Linked DNA regions of Danio rerio. The protein of the gene in region 2 interacts with the protein of the main gene of each other region in a pairwise test. Links are inferred from orthologs where the notes say so. Each region holds a gene or a part of one and is shown on either strand. Other genes may lie near its edges.

The links. The genes of interacting proteins can lie anywhere in the genome.
Region 1: the proteins of sh3d19 (region 2) and sh3yl1 interact in binary tests that used the Homo sapiens proteins (3 or more experiments, as listed by UniProt). The link is inferred for Danio rerio from reciprocal best matches to the Homo sapiens genes SH3D19 and SH3YL1.

What each region holds. Positions count from the first base shown.
Region 1 is NC_133192.1:32,057,830-32,062,063, reverse strand, and holds the end of sh3yl1 (SH3 domain-containing YSC84-like protein 1), read left to right. Parts: intron 1-1,414; coding exon of another isoform or gene 1,415-1,505; intron 1,506-2,447; coding exon 2,448-2,641; 3' UTR 2,642-3,608; downstream 3,609-4,234.
Region 2 is NC_133176.1:26,057,683-26,062,042, forward strand, and holds the start of sh3d19 (SH3 domain-containing protein 19), read right to left. Parts: upstream 2,812-4,360; 5' UTR 2,616-2,811; coding exon 2,540-2,615; intron 1-2,539. UniProt on the Homo sapiens protein: May play a role in regulating A disintegrin and metalloproteases (ADAMs) in the signaling of EGFR-ligand shedding. May be involved in suppression of Ras-induced cellular transformation and Ras-mediated activation of ELK1.

The sequences.
Region 1 (4,234 bases), on a different chromosome or scaffold from region 2:
CAATTAATTAGACCGTTGTTTCATAAATTTAATTTAAAATAGATATCTAAAATATAAAATAAATGCAGATCAATTTAAATGGTTTCAATTTTTAAATCAATTTATTCTCTTAATAAAAGAAAAACCATTTAAATTGATTCATTTGTTTGCCTATTAACAATTATGAATTACCATTTGGAAATCATTTTAAATATTATGTGTGAAATCATATTCATATTGGCATCCAATTTATCTAAATTGTCAAGTTGTAGTTTGCCTCTTCTGAGATTAGACTTCGCAAAGTCAAGGCAGCCAAAACTGCTGGTACTGACGGTAAACCTCTCTGGGTGCTAAAGTCTTTTTAAGAGTTGGCTCCTGTGCTATGCAATATCTTCAACACATGCATACAGTTTAAGTTTTTTTTTTTTTTTTTCTAAGCCAGAGATGCCCTAACTAGTTGGCCCATGGTAACTTTTGATTTAGCCCACCATCCTGTCTGAGAATGGTTTAGAGATTATCATTTCAAATTTAATGCAACCTATTATTTGATTGTTTTATTGTTAAGCTACAAAAAAGCCTATCTGAATTTAAATGTTTAAATTGAAATTATGTAAATTAATCGGATTTAGTTAATGTACATTGTTAATGTAGTACGACTGATGGAGGACAATGCAGAGACTTTGGTGCTCGAATCAAGGCAAATTCTGCTTGACTAGTGTATTCAGCAATGACTCCACTGTGTTAAACAGGTAATTTTATTATTTCAATAAGTTATAATAAAAAAAAGTTATACTGCATTTAGTGCATTAGTCAATACAGTTCAAAGTAATGATTTCGATTTATTTTTTAATATTAAGAAATTAATTCGGAAAATTACCCATGCCAACTTTAATGTAAAAATAGTTTGGTAAAGTATGTTTATCTTGGCCCATCGCTCTCAATGATATTTCGTTTTTGACTCTTCATACGAAAATATTTGGGCACCCCTGTTCTAAACAATGGAAGGAGACTATAGTCAAAGCCATTCCTAAACAAAAGCTAAGCCTAGTTTTCCAGCAGACTATAGCCAGATTCAGATTCAATCATGGTCAATTATTATGTTCCTTAGCTTACTTTTATGTCAGCCAAACTCTTTGGCTTATTGTGAGAAGTTATCTGACAACAGAACAGGGGGCTCCTGTGTGTCTGATTCTTTTTCAGTCCCAGTTTCTGTCCCCTCTGCTTTTTGTCATACTGTATGCATCAACAGTTTGGATCATAGTTTCTAGTGGGATCTTCAATTGGACTTACTTGGAAGGCCTTGGATTCCGTAGTGGGTTGGGGAGAGACTTTTAACTTAATGAATGGAGCTAAGACTGTGGATGTGGTAATAATGGTCAGAAAAGAAGTTTCCCTGAAAAGAACATTCTCTTCCCTCCATTTCCTGGTATCCCAGGACAAGCAATTAGTCGAGTTTCCACCTTTTTAAATTGCTGGATGTGCAAATATCTTCTGACCTATCATGGGATGCCCACGTTAAATACATGGTACGTAACAGAATGTACTATTTTTTTCAAAGCCAAAAAAGCAGGACTTCCTTGTGATGTTCTAATGCAAGTGTACTTGAGTATGCCAGTACAATCTAGGGCTGACTCCTTAAAGGTTTCTCTGAGGAGTTAAAGTAGATCCAAAAGTGATGTTGTTGGATAATGTACTTCCATTTTTCCAACACTGAGTGAAAGTTGTGAAGAAGCCACCATACGTACCCCCACTAAAATACTCAATGACAATTTATCACCACTGCATTATTTCCTGCTGAAGGCTCCAGTGTCACCCTACCATCTTCTGCGACTTAAGACATTTGCTATACCCAGGAGTAAAACTAAAACATCATGAACTCTCCTTTATTCCTTGTGCTCTTAAATTGATGTACAGATATTGTTTAATTCATGATGTCTGATGTTTTTTAATTATTATTTTTACTTTTTTAATCATGTCATATTTTAGTATTTTTATTAGTCAAATTCATTAATTTAGCATGTAGTTAATGTATGTACAATGTGTTGTGCATTTTTTTATTCTTAGAACAAGTATGTTTTACTTTGTAATTTTAAATTAATAATATAAAAAGGCTGCAGTAAATGTATCTTCTAAAAGCGTACTTATGCATTTATTTATATCTTGTTTTATTTCTTAATCTTAAGTTTACATCTGAGTATGTTTTACTTATTGTCTTGCAATTTTTACTGAAAAACTACTTTAAAAAAAAGTCAGTGAATAGCTTAAAATGAAGCAAAACAAGATACACTAAATATTTTGAAAGATTTTTTTAATTGCATTATTTTTGTTTAATTTACATTCTTATTTAAATATATTCATTAATAATTTTACTAACAGCCTAACTGTCATTAACTATGTAAAATTATCACTTGCAATTTTAAATGCTCTTCCAGCAAATCATCCCATTTTCTTTTCTCTCTGTGTTGTAGATCAGGCATCAGGTGGAGCTCTGGTGGTCACGGCTGTTCATCCATTCACCGGCCAGCAGCCTGGAGATCTGAGCTTTAATGCTGGAGACCGAATCACCGTTGTCACCAAAACAGACTCTCAGTATGACTGGTGGGAAGGTGAACTAAAAGGGCAGGTTGGGATCTTCCCTGCTAATTTTGTGTCATATAGTTAAAAGTTCTTAAAGCTAAAATGGATGACAATCTGGTATTGAAGGGTCCTTTTCTTTTGCACAGTTTGAAATGGTGTATATTTATAGTAGCACTTGTGGCAGGTGTTACCAACGGGTGTTACTTTAATGGGTTGTATTATTGGATGAAATTGGGTGCTTTTCTATATTTAATATATTTCCTGATTATAGTTTAATATATTCTTTTGATATTTTTATGTTGGCCGTTCACTCATTTTGGGTTGAGGATCCAGTTTTTTAGATTTCTATTTTTTTATGCCATAAACATAAAGAAATACAATCATGTTTGAACACAGTAATTGCAGTATGACTGAAGCACAATGTTTTTAAGCACCAGGTATTTAAATTATCATGCATAAACGGTATGTTTGCTGTTTGTTTTGCCAGTTTTGTTTCTCTGATAACAAAGCAGGAGTGTTGTTACAGATGACTGTTATGATAACTACTGAAATGCCTTATTTATAGTTTTATGAACTTTTTCCACTTAACATCTGCCTTGATTTAATATTACTTTTTTAATGGTGTTTTTAAGGAGGCTGAATGTTTGATCTTCTAACTAATGTCTTATCTAACTAATGTACTAAAAAAACATGAAAGATTGTTTTGATTAATAAAGCTTATCAAGATTTTAGCTTGCAATAATTTCTCTGTTTGTAAAAGTCGGGGGCTCTTAAAAATGTGTGAGACTTGATTGACTACAATTGCTAACAAATTGTGGTTTAGTAAAATAAGCTACATTACAAAGCAGTGTTTATAACTACCGCAGTAGGCTACAATAAAAATGCTTTAAGAAATGCAATGTTACGACATCCAGAAGCACGTCGGGCTGTTTTGTAGGCTTTTAGGCTGTTTTTGTATAGGTAAAAACTGACGCGATTGAGACAGCCACAAGTGGCCGCACGCTGCATAATATTCCTCATCCAGCTAAATAAAAGGCGGTTTGATTCCCATAGATTGTGAGTTGTAACATTTCTTAACCACAAGGTGTCATAAGAGTTAAGCATATCGTGTTCTGAGTTGGCTAAGTGTCAAATATGGAGCCGTTTCTGTTGTTGTTAAATTCTAAGTAGCCTAAGTTTTTTGAAAGACATTTTTAAGCTGGAGTTGAACAACTAAATGTGAGGTTAAAATTTCATAAGAAAAAAAACCTTGATTTTACCCTTGAGTTACCTGATTTTAAGACTAAGCTAAACTGAACGAATATAAGAAAGAGAATCTGTATACTTTTTTTTTTTTTTTTTATAACATTTGTAGATTCTAAAGAGGCCATTATAACCATATACAGGATGTGAATCGTTCTTTGAAGACCATTTTAATAATTTAAAGACATTTTTACACTGATCTCAAATCGCAGAATAAAATCTCTAATAAAACAGTAAAAATAAAATAAAATAAAATAAAGTGCACATTTAATCAGTGTTAAAGACCCTTAAACATGGCCATTCTTGAAGCACTCTTGTTGCAACTGCAAGGTTTTTAGTACAATGATTTAACCATCTTGCAGTTTATTTCGCTGTTAAGAATTGTGTAAGAGTTACATAAGACCCAGTCTCAAAGTGTTTTTAAAAAGGTAAAAAT
Region 2 (4,360 bases):
CTAAAATTGAGTAATGAAATATTGTAAAGTCTGAACATGTTTATGAACACGGGACTTTCCTGGTCGAACAGTTTATTCAGCTAACATGTTGAAACTGGATCATCTTTTCATGACTTCATGAGTGAAGTATTTGAGGATATGAGTAGGTAAAAAGAGTTTTGGGTACACCTATGTTCATCAATAACCACATATGTCAAATGTGTTAAATGTCATTTTCTTTATTTGAACAACTAAAATATTGATATAAACTACTGTTCAAAGGTTTGGGGTCAGTAGGATTTGTAAATGTTTTAAATTAAGCTTCTCCTGCTCACCAAAGCTGCATTTATTTCATAAAAATTCAGTGAAAAGGTGTAAAATTGTGAAATGTTATTTCACTGTAAAATAACTGTTCAAATGTAGTTGATCATTTTACTTAATATTAATTAATGTAATTGTAATAAAAACAATAATGACTGAAGTAATAATTTTATTTGAAATTAAATACAATAAGAAAGCGTTTAATTTACTTTGATTTAATTTAGTAAATGCCGCCTTAATGAACAGTATATATATATATTTTTAAAAACATGAAAAAAACTGGCCCCAAACTTTTGACCGGTAGTGCAAATTAAACATATAAATGTAATAAAAATAATATTTTATGCTGCTATATAAAACCTGGAGAGAAGCCAGCAGGCAAAAGCAAAAATTTTAGTCCTCTAAATGTGAAATTTCACTGACACAGCAGCCACCTCTGCAAATAAAAGCCACTCATTTACTAGGTAAAGTGGGAGTTGATTTTTGTATGCTTTTAAGACAGTGAATTTACATCTAAATGAATCACTGTTCAATTAATTACTTTGTGCGAATTGATCAAAAATTCACTCTGATTATTACTTATCTAATAATGCAACATTGAGATAGGTTCAATTAAAAATCCCCATCATTAACATCAAGACTGACAGTCTGCCTGGAGCATTTATCAGCACTCTGGAAACTACACTTCACCAACCAAATCTGAGGACCAGAACTAAAATGAAAATGAGTAATGTAATATTGTATAATAAGTCTGAACATGTTTATGACCACGGGACTTTCCCGTTCACACATTTTATACAGCTAACATGTTGAAACTGGAGCATTTCTTCATGACTTCATGAGTGAAATATATGAGGATATGAGTAGGTGAAAAGGGTTTTGGATACACCTACATGCACACATCTATACCCACTGAAACCAATTTGATATTTTCCTCTATGAACAAGCATTAAAACTAAGCCCACTTTACAAAGCTGCAGACATATAAGAGAAAGTTTAAAATGTTTAATATGCTGACTGTCCAGACAAACACATGACACTGCACAGGTGCTATACTTTCAGACAGGCTGCGACAAGCACAACTGCTGCCTCATGTTTCCTCACTCAGAGTCATGTCACCTGTTCAGTGTCAATAGAAGAAAGCTACAACCTGCTGTTTTTTCTCCCACTCACAGCTGACTCAGCCATACATCTAGAAACTAATGCTGAGGGAGCAAGAGGAACTTTTCACCCTAATTCACTTTTTTACAGTTTGATAATGGTTTTTAACCAATTACAAGTGTTAAATGTTTACGAAATATATTAAAACATTAAGTATCAAAAATTGACTTTTTGTTAACCCGCTGAATCTTAAGATACTTATAAATGATTATTGATGCATCAAGCCATTATTTACCACTTTCTTTGACAGGTTTCTACTTATTCTTGGAAGCAACATCAATTTCTTGGAGATTGTATTTTTCTTTGTCTATTACTAAATATGGGTCTGCAGCATCAGTTAAAAATATTTTAAGTTATGTTTTTAACTTAAGTTATTTTTTTTAATTTCACACATGCAGGAACCCAAATGTCTGTATTTTTTGTTTATCATAGAATAAGAATAGGAGATGCAGTTTGCTGTCATAATGTTTCTGAAATTTGTGATAAAAACTTGCAAAAATCACTTTATACATTTTTTATTGTTAAAAATGAAGTGTTCAAGTCAATTATTTTTTTGTACCATTTAAAAATGATGAATAATAATTGCACTCCAGAAAGTCAAAAAGAGCAGGCTAATTACTGTTTTAGGCAGTGTTGGGTCAGTTCCTTAAAAAGTAAATAATTTCAAAAAGTAAATAATCTCAAAACATACAATACATTGTAAATAATTTCTTACATTGATTCTTTAATGTCAACAATGTACCGTTATCTTAACAATTATAACATTCCTTAGTTGAAAAATGGCATGATTCTGAAAAATAGGCTATATTTGAATAACAAAAATAGCCTAGTCAATAATTAGTTTCTCTAAACTGATTTACAGAGGAGTGCAGAATTTATTTGAAGTAGGATAACTGAGTACATTACACTGTGGTTAAACTGCATAAAATTATCCAAGTTATCTCTTTATTTAACTTTCAACGGACAAGTTATTTAATTACAGTAACTACAAGCAACAGAAAAATAATCCGTTACCGTACTCTACCTAAGCTACGTTTCAACTTTTCCATAGTAATTGCAACAACAACAATTGTCCTACCTGTTGAATCTCTTCTCCTCGTAACAGAAACATTTGAAAAATCTTCACTTCCATCACTACAACGGGCTTCAGCCATGAGGTATAACCGCACGTCTTTCTAATAATATTTAGACTTTTTTAACTTGAGGAAAAAAGCTATTTGAAAGATTTTGAAACAAACTCTGGCGGTGTGTTTTGTTTCAGCAAAAAGCCAGGAAGACTGTTAAACAGTCAAAGACTGATGAACGAAACCCTGCGGTTGGCGCGAGCATCATGACAAACAGAAGGGCGAGAGAGAGATCTGTGCACGCGCGTCTTTTACTGCTCAGCAGAGGGCGGAGAAGATTACATTGATTTTAAACCTTTCTGTGAAACATTAGACTACACAAAGAAATACGTAAAGAAAAAAAAGTTGTGATCCTTAGCTATTCAGAAGTGTCATTAAACAAGAAGTGAGTCCAGGCCAAACGAACTTTGTTTTATAATTTGAGCAGCCTGGAGAGTCAAATTAAAATAAACAACAACAGTTAACAATTATTCTTTTTAGCCATATTATTTATGCAAACTATTTATTTCAGTATTTTATTTTTATTTTGATGTCAACCCCAATTATATGAAATGTTGTATTCAAAATATCCATTTCATCAATTCACTGTTTCTGTCATTTACATTCTATCAGTTTTAAAATGAAGCATGCATAATATTCTGATTGTGAACAACTGCATGATTTCAAAAGGTTTATTTTATTTTTATGAATTGGCATAATATGCATCTATGTTTTTAAAATTTATTATAAAACGATCAGAATTTACATTAAGTTATAGGTCATTGCTAGAATATGTGCTAAAATAATAAATGTAGTATCACTCTTAATATATCATTCTTATTCACAATGCTGTAAAATATAATAAGGCCAAAGTGTTCTTTGGTATGGGTGTTTATTGTTTATCTTCTCAACTGCATTTTAACAAAATAGTTTTTACAGTTTTTGGCACACAAAAGTGTTCATGGAGCTTTTGAACACTGCCGTTGAACACCTGAAGTCAGTATAGGAATGTTTTGACAACCTTTTAAATATTCTGGACTATGAACTTCACTTGACCATTGTTGTCTATAGACATACAGTATATGTAGGGTGAGGGACGCTCTTAGATTTCATCTAAAATAGCCTGAAATAATTATCTTGTTTTCTGAAGATGAACAAAGGTCTCAGGGGAGTGGAATGATATGAGGGTGAGTAACAGTAATTATAATTTTCATTTTTGATGAACTAGTCTTTTAATGGCACATTGTGGGTAATGGGATAGTCACTTGGGCTACAAAGAAGTGTTTTAATTTTTTTTCTATGCACATAACAACTCAATGAATGTCCATTCTCTTTCATACTGCCACAGTGACTCAACATTGGAGTAAGGTTAAAAGCAGCAGTTACATCTTATGCAATACACATACAATACTGTCCAAAGTCTAATTCTTGGCCACTATATTCATTAACAAATTCAGTTTTTACGTCAGTTATTTTTATCTTTTGCAGTAGTTAGTCAGAAGTAAATAGCAATTTACATTTCCAAAACAATTTTTTCTACTCCTTTTAATAATCGAGTGACAGTTTTGATTGCTGATATCAGCCAATGCTCCACACAAAGATGTGATCTGCACCATCATCCAGTACACCTAGAAAAACATGAAGAAACAGAAAGAATCATGCTAAACTACATCAGTGTCAAAGTGCACATGTTTAATGTTAGAGCATAACTTAGCATACCAACATGGTATAATATTATGCAGTTTACTCATACTTTGGATTGTGCTATTTAGGATTTCACTGTGATGACAATAAAA